Linked DNA regions of Sus scrofa. The protein of the gene in region 3 interacts with the protein of the main gene of each other region in a pairwise test. Links are inferred from orthologs where the notes say so. Each region holds a gene or a part of one and is shown on either strand. Other genes may lie near its edges.

What was found.
Region 1: the proteins of SPRY2 (region 3) and UBASH3A interact in binary tests that used the Homo sapiens proteins (3 or more experiments, as listed by UniProt). The two-hybrid records come from large-scale screens. The link is inferred for Sus scrofa from reciprocal best matches to the Homo sapiens genes SPRY2 and UBASH3A.
Region 2: the proteins of SPRY2 (region 3) and HSD3B7 interact in binary tests that used the Homo sapiens proteins (3 or more experiments, as listed by UniProt). The two-hybrid records come from large-scale screens. The link is inferred for Sus scrofa from reciprocal best matches to the Homo sapiens genes SPRY2 and HSD3B7.

The regions. Positions count from the first base shown.
Region 1 is NC_010455.5:205,742,249-205,747,944, forward strand, and holds the start of UBASH3A (ubiquitin-associated and SH3 domain-containing protein A), read left to right. Parts: upstream 1-2,146; 5' UTR 2,147-2,226; coding exon 2,227-2,525; intron 2,526-4,405; coding exon 4,406-4,459; intron 4,460-5,696. UniProt on the Homo sapiens protein: Interferes with CBL-mediated down-regulation and degradation of receptor-type tyrosine kinases. Promotes accumulation of activated target receptors, such as T-cell receptors, EGFR and PDGFRB, on the cell surface.
Region 2 is NC_010445.4:17,459,832-17,465,309, reverse strand, and holds the start of HSD3B7 (3 beta-hydroxysteroid dehydrogenase type 7), read left to right. Parts: upstream 1-1,928; 5' UTR 1,929-2,057; coding exon 2,058-2,174; intron 2,175-2,206; exon of another isoform or gene 2,207-2,350; intron 2,351-2,548; coding exon 2,549-2,720; intron 2,721-2,938; coding exon 2,939-3,094; intron 3,095-3,386; coding exon 3,387-3,495; intron 3,496-3,573; coding exon 3,574-3,673; intron 3,674-3,874; coding exon 3,875-4,037; intron 4,038-4,484; coding exon 4,485-4,900; 3' UTR 4,901-5,478. UniProt on the Homo sapiens protein: The 3-beta-HSD enzymatic system plays a crucial role in the biosynthesis of all classes of hormonal steroids. HSD VII is active against four 7-alpha-hydroxylated sterols. Does not metabolize several different C(19/21) steroids as substrates.
Region 3 is NC_010453.5:52,155,082-52,160,598, reverse strand, and holds the start of SPRY2 (protein sprouty homolog 2), read left to right. Parts: upstream 1-1,832; 5' UTR 1,833-2,338; intron 2,339-5,107; 5' UTR 5,108-5,158; coding exon 5,159-5,517.

The DNA.
Region 1 (5,696 bases), on a different chromosome or scaffold from region 3:
TGAAGTCACGGTCGAGGTTCATACAGTTCCCACCTGGATACGCGGTTTTCCAGCACCATTTGCAGAAAATATCATTCCTTCCCCAGTGAATTCCTTTGGCCCCTCTGTTGGGCATCAGTTGGCCGCATGGGGGGGGTGTCTTTTTCACCCTCCACCACCACACTACGGCCACCTGATGTTTAAATGTATCTGAAAAATCCAAAGGCCTTAGAGGGATGAGAGAATCTTAAAGTGGAAGACAAATCAGAGGGCTTAGCACGCTAGTCATTATAACAGCATCATGTGGACACAGAAATGGACCAATCAAAGAAGGCAGCATAATAGAGTCAGAGACAGACTGATACATATACAGTCAGCGGATGTGTAATACACTCTACTGCCATCCACGGGGTAAAGGACGGTCTTTTCAATGAGCAAAGGTACAGAGAAATAAACGATCTTTTACCCCTACCTCCCGCCATAGAAAGAACTCATTCCAATGGGCCGTATTGCTCAACACAAACAGTAAATACGGTAAAACTCCAGAGACAGCCATCTCCATCAAAGTGGAATTAGCAGTGGTGTCTTTTTTTGTCTTTTCCCTTTTGATTTATGGCAGGATATTGAATAGAGTTCCCTGGACTATACAATAGGACCTGTTATTTTTCCATTCCCTGCAGAATAGCCTGCGGCTGCTAATCCCAAACTCCCAGTCTCACCCTCCCCTGCCTCCTCCCCCCACCTTGGTGGCCACAAGCCTGTTCTCTGCATCTGTGGGTCTAACAGTGATTTCTTACACAGGATGTCGAAAGTTCTAACCATAAAAAAAAAGATAAATTCATTTTTATTCAAATTAAGCACTTTTGTTTCACTCAAAGTCATCACTAAGAGATTTAAAAAGCAAACCACAGCCTGTAAGAAGTTATTACCTTGAAAGGAACCCAACAAAAGACTCCCCTCCAGAGTTGCCAGAAATGGATAAGAAAACCCATACAAACCATCTAAAAATGACAGATGGCCTGAGCAGACCCTTCCCCAAGGAGGATATTCAAGGGCCGGAGCCCGACTCGTGGTGCTCCGTGCCACTGCCATTCGGGGAAATGCAAATTAGAGCCACAATGACACACCTCGCCACACCCTCAGAAGGGCTGAAACTCAGAAGCCAGGGTGGGCCAGGAGGCAGAACAGCAGGAGCCCCATCCGCTGCTGGGACAACGGCTTTGCAGAGTCACCCGGCAGTTGCTCATGAAGCGGGCACGTGTCCTAGGACACAGCTACCCACTCCTCAATGGGTCCCCAGCAGAAAGGCACACCTCAGGCCCCCAGGCATAAACAAGAGTGTCTCAGCATCCAAACAACTGACAACCCCAGAAGTGCACATCCTCAGAGAAGCGGAGAAATAAGATGGGGTACACGTATCTGATGGAATAACACACATCCATGCAGTGAACCACCACTGCGGGCCGTTATGTGGGTAAATTCCACCCACATAGTTTTGGGCAGAAGGAACCAGACCTGGGAGAGTGCTTGTTCTATGGTTCTGTTTATGTCAGTTTCAACGTGGGGACAAAATTAACACACAAGTAAACCCAGCAGCTACTTTCAGGGGAAGGAGGAGACAGCTAGAAGCCTGCGCAGGCGGCGGGGATCCCGGGGGCCGGGGGCTTCTGAGGATGGTGGTGTTCTGGGGTACAGCTTCTCAGCCTTGGCCCTGCTGACACCTTGGGATGGACCCTTCTTCACTGTCATGAGCCCTGCAGCCTTCCTGGCCTCAACCTGATGGCGAGCGCCCCCTCCATCCATTGTGACACCAAATATGTCTCCAGACAGAGCCAGTGGTCCCTGGGGAAAGGGGCTAAAATTCCCCCGGTGGAAGACCTGCTTTATTGAAGGATGAGGTGTCCGTGCCTGCTTCGTGCAAATGCCCTGAGCCGTGCATGTAGGATTCGTCAGCTTTTCTGCACACACATCCAACTTTAAAAGTATTCGAAATGTTTAAAAAGTCAATGAATAGCTGAAAGGGTCCCGCATTTCAGAGCTAGCAGGGACAGTAGATACAGCGGAGTCTAATGTCCCATGCAGGTTAAGGAGGCCAAGATCTAGGTGCCTCGGGGTTCAGAACCCCACCCCCGCTTCCCCTCCCCCTTGTCCCCCCCACCCCCTCTCAGGCCAACTGGCTCCCAAGGGCAGCCCAAGTCTCAGCGGCGGCTGATCCCAGGCGGGGAGTCCGACGGACCCCAAAGCCCAATGTGGAAGGGGCGCCACACCCACACTCTGCAAAGAGAGTTCTGCAAACGGGTATCTCGTGCAAACAGGATATTAGCTTTTGTCAGACAGATCACAAAGGGCTTGAGGTTTCTCTTCTCAGCCTCAGGCTCCCTGCCTCTCCCTCTCCGGCTTTATCTGCTTCGCTCAGTCTGCGGGCAGGAAGAGATGGCAGCGGGGGAGACACAGCTCTACGCCAAGGTTACCAGCAAGCTCAAGGGCCGCAGCTCCTCCGCGCTCCTGGAGCCCCTCCTGGACATGGGCTTCCCGGCCCACACCGCGTGAGTACCCCCCGCCTGGCCAGGGTCCCTGACCCCCCGCCGACCCCTCTACGGCTGCAAAATTGCAGGTGGCTCAGAGCACTTACTTCCTGTGCGAGGGGTGAACCGCACAGGGCCAGAGACCTGCTCCAAGTGAGGCCCGTTCTGCTTTTATGAAGGACACGACCTTCGCTTTTTAAAGACAAACTCTTCTGGCTGGTGATGGGGGCCCCGTGACATCTGGGAAATGGGAGCCAGGGTGTGGGGGGACTTGGGGCCTGGCTGCCCCCCTCGGTGGTCAGCTCAGCGAGCCTGAGATGGCCTTGCAGACTCGAATTCGAAAGCCCCAAAGTCGGGTGGGCCTCTTGAAATCCGCCAGAATGTGCTTCTCTCGGTGCGAAGGGAGAGCCCTTGTCTTTGAGGGGAAGCTCCCGGATGTCTGATGATGTAAAAAAGGGTCAAGGACCTCCCCGAGCAGGTGGACACGACCCACTTATCCAAGGAGAAGGTGCACCCAGAGACCCCTCAACCTCACGAGTTACCCTTCGGAGACAGAGGGGCATCCCCAAACTATGAGCTTTCAGACCAACACCCGGTCACAGCTTCCACGGGGAACCAGTTCCTTAGATCAGGTCCTTTTCACATGCTCATTCGTCTGGGAACTACGTCGGAGGCCTCCTGATGTGACCTTGCACTTGGGAGGGGGGCAAACGCGCCTTAAACAGGTTAACGAACCCCTGTGACCCAGCTGCTGGAGTGCCTGAGGCTGGACCCCTTTGCTCCCTAACTCGCACTGGGGCTCTGTCCTCACGTTCTGCTCACACTGAGTGGGGGGCTGTGAGCTCGAAAGGAAACCAGGCATGGGCAGGGTGCGGAGGGGGACCCCGAGGCTGGAGGGGGCAGGGGGTGCAAAAGGGGGGCTGAAACCCCCTCTCCTCACCTCTAGAGCCCACACTTTGCCATGTGGCCAAAGCTGCCGTTGAAAGCACACCCCAAGCCCCTTCCAATTTAAACATCAGCCGTGTGCTGGGTGGAGAAGCATGTTTTAAATGTGACCCTTAGGCTGGAGCACCAGGTAAAGCTTCCAATGAGCTCTCCAGGGGCCTCCCCCTTCAGGCATCCAGCAAAGTGGGTTCCTGATCAGCTCCAGCAATTTCCAGGCTGAATGCCTCCACCAAACTCCACTGGGCCCAATCTAGTCCCCTTCGGTTAAGCTCCATCCAATGTGCACGTGTCCTGGTTCAATGACAAGTAAGACTCGGGCCCGGGGAGCTGGCAGACGGATCGGAGGGCGGTCCATTGAGATGGGGGCCTGGCGACCTCACGGGCAGCGAGGAGACACAGAGGGGCTGCACGGCCCCCCTACCTGGGCATTTGGGCTGGGCTTTCTGGAAGAGGGACACCAGAGAGCCACCTCCCTCAGGGTGTGTTGATGCCAGACGGCTTCTTGGCCAGTAGGCATGTGTGCCAGCCAGGGACACGGCCCTGATGGCTGCCTAAGGTTGCCTAAGGCAGGTTCTAATGTATTCCCCACGCGAACTCAAGGGTCCGAGAGGAGGGCCACCTGGCTGTGGGGAGGGGTTGGGTCAGGGAGGTGGGATTCAGGCATGGGTGGACTCAGGACATGAGCCCTTGCTCTCTGTTCCATGGACGAAGGTGGGGGCCAGGGAAGCAGGGGGGCAGGGGCCAGATGTGAGCGTCCACATTTCCAAACTCACAGCGATGCCACCAGAGGCCAGAGGCCTGGGTGCTGCTCCCCGAGGAGAGGTCTCGCCCACCAGCCCCCAGCGGGGATCGGGGGGCTGAAGGTCCCATGTCCTGCACAGACACCCCGTTGCTCTGACCCTCCCCCCAGGAGCAAAAGGCAGGTTCTGAGGGCTCCTTGCGTCCTGCCCCCACAGGCTCAAGGCACTGGCAGCTACGGGGAGGAAGACGGTGGAGGAGGCATCAGACTGGTGAGTGGGGCACCGGCAGGGCGGTGAGGTCTCTGCGCAGTGGACCCTCTGGGCGGCCGGGGCAGAGCGGAAGGAGGAAAGAACCCGTGTTTGAATGGACAGCAAAAGAGAGAGAATGTCTGAAGCCTTCCGTAACCGAATGCGCTGGCGGGGGGCGGGGGGGGGGGGTTGCTGACCAAATGAGGAAGAGCCATGTCGCTGATACGATGACCCCGAGTCACCACTATCTCTGCCTCTGATGGGGACGGGCCTTGCGGGGGCCGGGCGTATGTCCCTTAAGTCCCCACATGTGGCACCTTGAGGGAGCCTGCTGCTTCGGGCAGGGGAGCCCTAGGCTAGGGTCCAAGTGGCTCTGCCACCGCCAGGTCTGCGACCCTGCCAGCTGCCCCCTGCTACCAGCCTGGGATTTCTGCCCTGGGCCTCCAAGAGGGCACCCCCTCCCTGAAACCCAGCCCTGCCCGCGTGGGCCGTGACGCCACTGTCCTGCCCCAAGGGGAAGTCCCCTCACGCTCTAACCCAGAAGAGCTGTGACGAAAAACACGCAAAAAACCCAGGTCCCGCCAGGCTGGGGTCCCCGCCCCAGAGCAGGATGGTCGTCACTGGCACTGGGTCCCTGTGTGCCCAGCGAGTCTTCAGTGGGGACTCCCACCCCCTCCAGAAACTCTAGGCCAAGGGCAAACATTCAACCCTGGTACGGACAAGGGGGGGCACCCAGGACCATCCAGCCTAGGCGAGCTCCAAGGTCAGTTGCCAAACTTGAACTAAAAACCAAACCCAGGATTTCCGTTGCTGTTCTGGGGGTGAAGAACCCAACTAGCATCCATGAGGACGTGGGTTCCATCCCTGGCCTTGCTCAGTGGGTTAAGGATCTGGCATTGCTGTGAGCTGTGGTGTAGGTTACAGATGCGGCTCAGAACCCATGGCTGTGGCTGTGGGGTAGGCCAGAAGCTGCAGCTCCGATTCGACCCCTAGCCTGGGAACTTCCCCATGTGCCATGGGTACAGCCCTAAAAAAACCCACAGTGCTTCCAGGGCTGGGGTTGGTCCTGGTAGCAGTGAGTCAGCCAGAAAGCCCAGCAGCCCTGCCAGGAACAGGGAGAGAGTGGGTGCCCTGGACTCTGCTAGAGCGGACCCAACCCCACTCCTGAGCAGGGAGTGCAGATTCGGATGCTGTTAACCACAAGGGCAGCCTCAAGGTGAAGATGGGGGGCTCTTACTTTCCCAGTCGCCATCTGGGG
Region 2 (5,478 bases), on a different chromosome or scaffold from region 3:
GCGGCATTATCGCCCTGTTTTCTGGGAAATGAGTTATTCCTCACAGACCGTGAGCCCTGACGTGGACGGCAGCAGCCGTGAGCACCTGTTTTGGAGAAGGGATGAGTAGGGTCCAATCTGTGAAATGGACGCTGTCGTCTCAAGAACTGCCCCAGCCCTCAGCCATCTGGGGGCTCCGCTGGGGGCCAGGCAGACGCTCCAGGAGATGCTGGTGGCTGCTCCTGCCCAGTGACCAGTGTGGACTTCCCTGGGGTCCTCTTTGGGTGACTATCAGAATGGCAGCCGAAGGTATAGGGAGGTGACCCTAAGAGGGGTGCTCCTGGGAGCAGGGTCAGGAGAGTCGGCGCCTTGGAGTAGCGGGTGCCAGAGGGAGCGTCACAGATCCCGGACGGGTCGGCGTGGCCTCCAGGGTGGTAGCTGGGAGACTGTCCAGACGCCTCATCACAAGGGCCAGCGGGGTCAGGCCAGCCCCCTGACCATCACGCTCTGTGCTGTTAGATGGTGGCCGACATGCGGGAGAAGCGCTACGTGCAGGAGGGCATTGGCAGCAGCTACCTGTTCCGGGTGGATCATGACACCATCATCGATGCCACGAAGTGTGGCAACCTGGCGAGGTTCATCAACCACTGCTGCACGGTGCGCGGGGGGCCGGGCCGGGCCGGGGTGGGGCGGGGGCCAGGGGCACAGCCGCAGCTCACCCCATCCTTGTCCTGCAGCCCAACTGCTATGCCAAGGTGATCACCATCGAGTCGCAGAAGAAGATCGTGATCTACTCCAAGCAGCCCATCGGTGTGGACGAGGAGATCACCTACGACTACAAGTTCCCGCTGGAGGACAACAAGATCCCGTGTCTGTGCGGCACCGAGAGCTGCCGCGGCTCCCTCAACTGAGGTGGGGCAGGACTGGTGCCCTCACCCCTATTTATTCCCCTTGGTGCCCTGAGCTCCCAGCCCACCCAGCCTTAGTGGGCTCAGCAGGGCCCACGTGCCCCATCTCCGAATGTGGGGTTGGGGGCCCCCCGAGCCCAGGAGGGAGCCTCAGTCCCTTGAGGCGACTTCTGCTTCCCCTCTTGCCCCTGCCCACCCATCCCCTGAATTTTTTTTCTTTGCGGAGAAGAAGCTGTAAATGTTTTGTAGCTGCCAGCAGCTGTTTCCTGTGGAAACCTGGGGTGCCGGCCTGTACAGATCCTGTTCTTGGGGGCTGCACAGCCCCCTTGCTTTGTGTTCATGGGGCTTCCCCTTTGTGCCCTGCGTGCACCCCTCCCCAGTTTAGGGGTCTCTAGGGGCAGTGGCCATGTTCTCCCCCTGGGGGGGGGCCCTGCGCCCCCAGTCCTGGGGACTCCGTGCCTGGAACCCTGCCTCATCTTCTGTTCCTGCCAGACCCTGTGGGTCACCCTCCCAGCCTGGTGTCTGGAAGCTCCGGCTTTGCCAGGCCGGGATGGTGGGGGGCGGGCCCTTCCTGTTGGGCTGGACTGTACATATGTTAATAGCGCAAACCCAACGCCACATTTTTATAATTGTGATTAAACTTTATTGTACAAAAGTGCTTGGTCAGTATCTTTGGGAAAGAGTAGGGTGGGATGGGGGCTGAGGACAGAGGGTGGGGCAAGTGAAGAGAGGGGGAAACAGGTGGCCTGAAGCTTGGGGTGGGGAGAGGGCCTTTCGGGCAAGAGCCAGGACCTGCAGACTCAGCCACCATCACTCTGGGCCACCTGCTAGGCTGGAACAGCCATCCAGAAATCCCCCGCCAAGGCCGGCCAGGGCAGGGCCAAGGTCAGGCCTCCCTTCCCTTCCCAGAACCACAGCTGCTGCTGGGCTTCTGGCCTCCTGGGAAATCCAGCAGGAGGGAAAGACTGACATCATGCCCTGGGAGCGAGGTCACCCTGCCTGCTCCCTTTACCTCGCCCACCCAGCAGGTTCCAGCTTCCCCATTCCCTTTCCTCAAGTTCTCTGCTGGAAGCAGATGCCAGTGCAGCGTGGAGTGGCCACCAGAGGGTGCCCTGTGGCAAGAGTAAGGTGGGCGGAGAGGTGGAGGCTGGGCTGGTCTCTGTTCCTGGAATGGGCCAGGAGGGAGGAGGAGCAAGCGGAAGGGGACTGTGTCACGGGCCCGCTGGCCTGGGGGACGAAGACGGCCTCCCGGTGGCCAGTTTGGGTGTCCTGGGACCTTGGCAGCAGGTAGGCAGCAGTGATGCCAGGGCCTGGGGTCCCTTCCCCCCATCCCGGCCCTTCCCACCTTCCTCTCCCTGCCGTCCCGGCTCCCTGCCAACTGCCTTTCCTTTTCTGTCTCGGGACCTCCTCCTCCGCCTCAAACCCTGAGCCCTCCCTGCACGCCAAGCCTTCCCCTCATCTTGGTAAGTGCGGCTGGCAGGGTTGGGACAGGTAACCTGGCTGCGGCTCCCACGGCTGCAGCCTCTGGAAACGGCTCTGGGCCCCGGGTCACTGTTGCTGTCCACTAAGCCAGAGGCCTCTTCTAGGAGTAACAGGTGGGCTGTAGGTGCCGGGGCAGGTGGCAGCAGGCAACCCAGGTGAGCCAGGGTGTCTTTCCCCAGCAGGGCATGGCAGATTCTGCTCAGGCCCAGAAGCTGGTGTACCTGGTCACAGGTGGCTGTGGCTTCCTGGGGGAACATGTGGTCCGCATGCTGCTGCAGCAGGAACCCCGGCTCTGTGAGCTGCGCGTCTTCGACCTACACCTGGGCCCCTGGCTGGAGGAACTGGAGACAGGTGACTGTGGTGGGGACAGAGTGGGGACGGGGGGAGAGGATGTGGACTTCCTTCCTTGGGGTGGAAAAGATGATGTCTCCTATGTTTTCCAGTGTGGACGGATGGGATGAATGAGTCACATTGGGAATATGTGGCTTCCAAGGGTGTGGGCCAAACCCAGCAGCTGGCCTGTGGCCTCAGCTCTGACATTGCCTCTGGCTGCTCCTACCCATCCCCAGGGCCCGTGCAGGTGACTGCCATCCAGGGGGACGTGACCCAGGCCCATGAGGTGGCAGCGGCTGTGGCCGGAGCCCACGTGGTCATCCACACAGCTGGGCTGGTGGATGTGTTCGGGAGAGCCAGTCCGGAGACCATCCATGAGGTCAACGTGCAGGGTGAGCGGCTCTCCACCTACTCTGATCACACACGCAATCCTCCCTGGCGCATGGCCTGAACTTGGCTGTTTGTTCCCTGCCCCCTCTTTGACCTTGACCTCTGTAATTCTCCTGTGACAATCTGTCCTGTGGACACTCCTGCCCATCATGGCGGGCTGGCCCTCACTGACCTGCCGTGGTTCGCCCTGGGCCTGGAGCTGGAAGACTCGGGTCCTCCTCCAGCTTTGGGATGGGGAGCGGAAAGATGCAGAGGGGGAGGAAGCTTTGGTTTAGACGTCCCCCCCTACCCCAGGCACACAGAATGTGATCGAGGCTTGTGTGCAGAATGGAACACGCTTCCTGGTCTACACAAGCAGCATGGAAGTTGTGGGGCCCAACATCAAGGGCCAGCCCTTCTACAGGTGAGCTGAGGTTCCCCTCAGTCCTTCAAGGCCCCCCTCTCTCCCCAGCATTAAGAATTTTCCCTCTCCCCCCACTAGGGGCAATGAGAATACCCCATACGAGGCAGCACACAGACATCCGTATCCTCGCAGCAAGGCCCTGGCTGAGCGGCTGGTCCTCGAAGCCAACGGAAGGAAGGTAAGACAGCGGATGAGATGTGGGAGCCAGAGCGGGGGTGGAAAGAGCTGCCGGGCAGAGGCAGAGCCAGGGCCTGCAGGCGCCTTTGCATCCTGCCCTGGGCACCTCCCCTCCATCTCCAGCTTTTGGAGGCCAGGGCAGAGGGCAGGCCCTAGGGGCGGGGTGTCCTAGGTCTTAGCAGTGCCTGCCTTTTGCCCCCAGGTCCGCGGGGGGCTGCCCCTAGTGACGTGTGCCCTGCGTCCCACTGGCATCTATGGTGAAGGCCACCAGATCATGAAGGACTTCTACCACCAGGGCCTGCGCCTGGGGGGTCGGCTCTTACGGGCCATCCCGGCCTCTGTGGAGCATGGCCGGGTCTACGTGGGTGAGGCTGGGCTAGGCGGCGGGGGGAGGCTAACAGGGCTCTGGGATCCACGTGGTTCTGGGGTCGGGGATGGTTGTGTACTCTGGCTAAGAGAGGACGGTCTATACCTGGGCCAGAGCAGACAAGGGCCATGCAAGGCGAGAAGGACGGCCTCAAAACGTGTCACAGGCTGAGTGAGGAAAGGGTTGGAGTTATGGGAGCAGCATCGTTCCAGGACCATCAGCAGAAAAAATAGCCTCCATTCAGGCTGGCCCTCAAGGGCAAACGGCTACAGGGCCTGGAGGGAAGCAGCCTTCAGCACAGCTGTTGCTATGAGGGCAGCATCCACAAGGGCCCAAAGAGGGGGCAGCTTGGCCAGCACTGGCCGGGGAGAGACCAGCATGGACCTGGTCACAAGGGCACTGAGGGCCACTTCCCCCCCTTCTCCCCTCGGCCCTGTCCCCGCAGGTAACGTGGCCTGGATGCACGTGCTGGTGGCCCGGGAGCTAGAGCACCGAGCGCCACTGATGGGTGGCCAGGTGTACTTCTGCTATGACAACTCACCCTACAAGAGCTACGAGGACTTCAACATGGAGTTCTTGGGCCCCTGCGGACTGCGGCTGGTGGGCAGCCGCCCGCTGCTGCCTTACTGGCTGTTGCTGTTTCTGGCCACCCTCAATGCCCTGCTGCAGTGGCTGCTGCGGCCGCTGCTGCTCTATGCGCCCCTGCTCAACCCCTACACGCTGGCCGTGGCCAACACCACCTTCACTGTCAGCACAGACAAGGCTCTACGCCACTTTGGCTATGAGCCCCTGTTCTCCTGGGAGGAGAGCCGGGCCCGCACTATCCGCTGGGTGCAGGCCGGGGAAGACTCCACCCAATGACAGTAGGGCTGGGGCCCGGAGCCTGGCGTGGCCCAGCCATCCGGGTCCAGGGCCCTCAGATCCTGGGTGGGGACGCATTCTAGAGCTGCAGGAGGGGCCTGGTGCCAGACTGCCCATCCTAGAGCTCTCATTTTAATCCACAAGCCTTGGGTCTGTGTCCTGATGTCTAGTTCTCAGGCAGGTGTGTCTTCTTCACTCTCAACCCAGGCCTGATGTCTCACTTTTCGATTTTTTTTTTTTTTTTCTTCTTTTTTGGCTGCCCAGCAGCATGCGGATTTCCCAGGCCAGAGATCAGATCCAAGCCGCAGTCGTGACCTAAGCCACAGCTGCAGCAATGCCAGATCGGATCCCTAACCCACTGTGCCTGGCTGGGGATCGAACCTGTATCCCAGCGCTCCCAAGAGGGTGCCAATCCTGTTGCACCACAGCGGGAGCTCCCGGTTTCTGACTTTTCAAGCAGGAAGTGGGTAGACGTTCCACAGGCCTCGTGCTGATGTCCAGGCGTGATCCTCAGGTTTGGATTCAGAGTGAAGATACTTTCTGGCTCCTCCCACCACCTTAGTTCTGCCTTGGGGGTT
Region 3 (5,517 bases):
CGGAGGGGTGGCGTGGGGCGGGGGGGGGGGGACGTAGGCCAGCGCCCGGAAATAACGCGTGCCACTTCCCTTGCCACCTCTGGTTCCAAACCCCGGTTGACGAGGGAGAGCGCTGGAGAAACATGGAGAAGGCAGGCCGAGAGCATAGCGCGGCCGGGAACGCGCCGGGACGTTCTAGAACGAGAGCCTGGGAGAAGGCAGCGAGTGCCAGGGTAGCTGTAAACGGATGTGGGATGGAGCCGGACCCGGGGAATCTAGCACCACGTTTTCCTAGCAGTGTTTCAAGAACTCTAACCCTCGCAGGTGCTCTTCGGGAGCTTTGACCGTACTTCCCTGTAAAGTAAAACCTTTCTGTAAATCATTAGAATCCAGTATTAGGAGTGGGTCGGGGAGGGAGGGGTGTTAACTCCCCACTGATGCTCCCACGTGCAACGTTTCTTAGTAAATGAACGGCAGTAGTAGGAGTGGGTCGAGGAGGGGGGGTGTTAACTCCCCACTGGTGCTCCCACGTGCAACCTTTCTTAGTAAATGAACGGCAGTCGGCACAGTGCTGATGTATGCATTTTCTCTCTTTGTATTATAATCTATTTTTTAAGTAGGAAAGTACAGACCACCTTCAAAAAGGACAATAGGATCTTCTTCGAGAAATGATCTACGTGACAAGGAGAGTTGGCAATGAAGGATGACTCTTCTTGGTTAAGTGGAGGAGGAAAGATGCAGTAAAACAGCGGGCCCCCCTCCCATTTCAGAAGCCAGCGATGTCGCCCTTAGTAATCGCGTCTGTGTGTATGACTGAATAAACTAATTGTAAAGAGGCCTAGATTGTAGCATTTCCTTCGGCTATAGCGTCAAACAAAACAGTAAGGAAGAGCTTCAAAAAAGCCTCCATCCGTAGCTCGCTCCCTCTTCAAAAATAAAGTCTAATGTTAAACGAAAAACTACAAATCGACGTAATCAAAAGCAAATCCCGGCAAGAGCAGAAGGTACTTGAAACACGAATCTGCATTCCGTTCCTCCCGTACGCGGCTCTGAGGTGGGGGAGGCGGTTTGTGCTGGTGCCTGGTGTATAATCGGGTTAATCCAGTAGACAAAGAATAAACCAATAGCCCTCCCACCTCACTTCCCTCTCCCCTTCCCCTCCCCCTTCTTCTCTCCCCGTCGCCCCCTCGAGGGGGAACAGAAAAGGGGAGAGGTGGGCTTGCAATGGATTCCGCATAAAGTCGCAAAACCTGCAACTTGCTGTTTTTAATGCTAACGCTGCCTGGCCCGGATTCGTTTTTAAGGTTCATTCCCTTTTCCTAGTGGCGGGGAGAAAGTTCCCCAAATCAGCGGGAGCCACGGCTCGTCCTCGTGGCCTCTGGGGAAACCTTAAGGTCAGTGTTTCCTTGAAACTAGATAAACTGACCCCGCCGTGCCCAGCCCGGCCCCGCGGGCACCCCGCGTGACGGCGCCGGGGCGGTAGGACCGGCCTGGGGACGCGCGGGGCGGCGTGGTTGCCCTTTTGAATGCCTCCAGCGGCTCGGAGCGCTGGCGGGCGCTGGAGTGTGAGTGAATGTAGCCCCGCGGAGCCAATGAGCTGGGACCGGATGCGATATATCCTCTGGGACAACAACTGCTCTGTTCCGCCTCGGATCCACATGACGCCATTTACTGCTGCCGCGGCCGCCGCAGAGCTCCCTGCCTCCTCCGGAAAGGCTAGGGCGCAGGCCAACAACGAGCCCCCCCGGTCAGGCCCCAGACCCTCCGCCTCCTCCTCCTCCTCCTTCTCCTCCGCCTCCTTCGCACCCACCACCCCGCCTCGGCCTCGCCGCCGCGCCTCCACAACGCCCAGTCTGCACTGCCGAGAGCTGCGCGCCGCAGCGCGAGCGGAGGAGAGGGGCCGGCGGAGCGCGCAGCGCCCAGGCCCCCGCGCCCGCCCGGCCCGGCCCGCCGCCCCGCGTCCCCGCGCCGCCTCCGCTCCGACGCGGACGCGGCTGCAGGACTTGACCATCTGGCTTTAGGTTCTCTGTAAGGCCTCTTTTCTCATTCGTTCATCTGCCAGGAAAAGACAAGCCGTTGGCGCTTCGGCCTCCAGTTCATTGAGAAAAAAAGAGGAAATACTCCGCGTGCGCTTCCAGAAGGGGGGTCGCCTCCAGCCCCGAACCCCGCAGTGTTCATCGGCTGGGGACTTGGCTCCGGATTTCCTCTCCTTTTCTTGTCCCGCCGGTTGCTCGGAAGTTGGACGGAAGCAGAGTTTGGAAGGAAAGGGGAAAAAGTTTGCATCGGGGCTGGATTTATTTGCACATCGCAGGAAGAAGAGAATCCAACGGAGAGGGGTTGGTGCAAAGCCGAGATCACGGTGAGGCGCGTTTGGCTGGCTCTTCCCCTCCTGGCGCCGTGGCCGGCGCATTGTGGGCAACATGGAGTAGGTGCAGCCGGACCAGGAGTGGGGTCTGTCTCTCCTCCGGCCTCCCTTTTTCTAACTCCACAGGTTCCCCGCAGGGATCCCCGGAGCTGCCCGCTGATCTGGCTCGCCTGGGGCTCGGCCTGCCCCGGCGGGGGCTGCAGTGCGCGGCTGGCACGGGGTCCCTGGACCCACCGCCCTAAGCGCCCGCGCCCTGGGGGGGTTGGGGTGGCCGACTGCTCGCCGGGAGTCGGCTCCGGGCGGTGCACTGGCCGCGAATTGGGCGCTGAGAGCGGGAGGGAGAGGGAAAGCACTTTGTGTTTTCCAGGTCGCTGTTGCAGGCGCCCGCATTTCTAACCTGTTCCTCTTCGGGGAAAGCGAGTCCTGGGAGAGGCTGTCTCAGGGCAGGGACGCCGGCGGGACCGAGGGCTCGCCTCACGGGGGCAGCGAGACCCCGCGGGTGAAAAAGGGACAGGGTGCCGGGTTGGGAGGGGGTTCTCTGCGCGGTGTGGACAGAGGCGAGCAGAGGGCGGGTGGGAGCGTCGCCCAGCGTGGCGCCGCGTCTCTGCGGTTCGGAAGTGCAGCTCTCTCTTTTTTCCGTTCGCCGTGGTCTGCCTGGGTCACGCTTTTTTTATTTTTGGAAGATTGGGCTGACCCAGCAGAGGAAGAAAGTCCTAAAACAGTCGCGAGCGTTTTCCATTCCCTGAAAAGAGGTATTAAAAGAGGCTAGCTATTTTTTTTCCCCTTTCCTTTGATGAGTTGATCAACTTTGTTGTTGCTGCTATTTTTTAATTTGGAATCTTGTGCGTTTTTACAAAGCGGTCACTGTGTCGGCTCGCCCCACCCTTGTGCTGAAGTCTTTTCTCCCTAATCCTAAATCTAATCACACACTGTTCTTAATGGGGGTTTCAAAGCTCTTTCAAAAGCGGGGGGCGGTGAGGGAGGCGGGGGTCTGTGAAGGAGGCCAGGGATCAGGAAAATCAGTTTGGTAAATATCCCCAAAGATGCTACTTTCCCCCTCAAACAAATCTGCGCGGAAAGTTTCCAGCCTAGGGATCTGGGTCTTGCATGCCCGGGGGTGGGGGGGTGCAGTGGGTTCCTGGAAAATGTCTTCTTTTTTAAAGCAATTTTTCTTTGACTCTAAGAAACATATTCATATGTGACTATGTGTGTATATTTTTAATACATGGGTATTTGCAGATTGCAGGCACTGCCCCTTCGGTCAGCGCAGGTAGAGTCGCCCGTGGTGCTAGGATTAGACCTCGGTATCCTGGCTGTGTGTCCAAGGCACGGCTTTCTACCTCGCAGTGCGGGTCTGGAAACCGGTGCCCGAAGGTCGAGGGCTTTGGAGGGAACGTCCTGCCATGGGCTGCGTGACCTCCGCCGGAGGGTGGAGCGGCTCCCACATAAAGCTGCCAGGCAGTTCTCTGGGGTGGGGGAGATTCTGGCAGCGGAGGAAAGGAGGGGGAAGCGTGCCCTAGCATTTCAGGGCACTCCCCTTCCGAGGCGCGGGGGGGTGGGGTGGGCAGCTTAGCCCCGGGGCTCCGAATGTGACCCACCTGCTGGGGACGGTGTTGGGGCGCAGATAGAGCCTGTAGCCGGAGTAAAAGCAAAGAGCAACGCTGTCTTGTCTGCCTTTCTGTTGGAACTGAGATCCAGTTGCCAGCTTTTTTTCCAAAGTGGAAGGTGTGTGTCACCTGCCTGTGTCTCTTTTTCTAAAAAGCAGACACTGGGTGAAAGTCCACTTTTGCAGACTTGGCAAAGAGGATGGTAGTTTTGAAATTTATAGAGGGAGGGTCATTTAAGGGGTTACTTGTCAGGATGATAGATCTGAGACGTGACATTTGAGTTTTTAGAACACTTCTTGTTATCACCAATCGGTTTATGTTCTCACTAGGTTTTTGGAAATGGGCAGAGCAGTTGAGATTTGGACATAATTCATATCTAAAACAGGGAGAACAGTCTTTTAGTTACATAATTTAAGATGTTCTCCTAGGCTATCTATCAGGTTGTAAAATATGTGAGTCACAAGTTGTTGGGAAGTTGAAAATAAGTTCCTGTCTTTTTGTTGCTCATGATGTAAATTTGCTTTATTGTGTTCCTGGCACTTAGCAGGATTTGAATTGATAGGTTTTTAGTTCTAAACTTTGTGTTACTCTATAGTTAATGATAGTGCTTGATTATTGTATAAAATGTGTAACTATCCCTTGGAGGGGTATTTACTTTTTTGCATATCGTAGTCATCCTATGGCATTTTATAAAGTTAGATAAACCGTAGTTCTAGGTGTTTGATGTAAAAGAACCAAGAATTTCTTGGCTGTGTTTATTGCTGCTTAAGGCAGAAGTGACCATGTTAAATGTAAGCTTATTTCAGAATTTGAAAAGGTGTTATTCAGCTTTTGAAAATGTCAGTATCAATGTTGTATTCCAACATTACTTTGCCACAATTTTTCCATGGAACCTGAACTGAGTAAGTTGCTTATATGATTGAAACAAAGGTCACTGCTTTGTGTCACTGCATATCATTAGAATAAAGAATTGTCAGCACCTGGCCATATTTTTTCTTTTGGGTTCAGATGGCGATCCCAATACCTGCCCTAGACAGCTGCTCCATTCCAATGCTGTTTCTCTAGGGGAAGTGGGGAGTGAAGAGTTAAGTCAGGTGGGTGGAGAGTGGGAAGTATCCCGGAGTGTAAACCCTCTCTTTCCTCTTGGCTCCCACAGGAATTCAGATGTGTTCTAAGCCTGCTGGAGTGACCACACTTCCAAGACCTGATGGAGGCCAGAGCTCAGAGTGGCAGCGGGTCGCAGCCCTTGCTGCAGGCACCCCGTGACGGTGGCAGGCAGCGTGGGGAGCCCGACCCCAGAGATGCCCTCACCCAGCAGGTACACGTGCTGTCTCTGGATCAGATCAGAGCCATCCGAAACACCAATGAGTACACAGAGGGACCCACTGTGGTCCCCAGACCCGGGCTCAAGCCTGCCCCTCGCCCCTCTGCTCAGCACAAACACGAGAGACTCAACGGTCTGCCCGAGCACCGCCAGCCTCCCCGGCTCCAGCACTCGCAGGCCCACGTTTCTGTGAGGGCCTCCCTGTCCAGGTCCATCAGCACTGTCAGCTCGGGGTCTCGGAG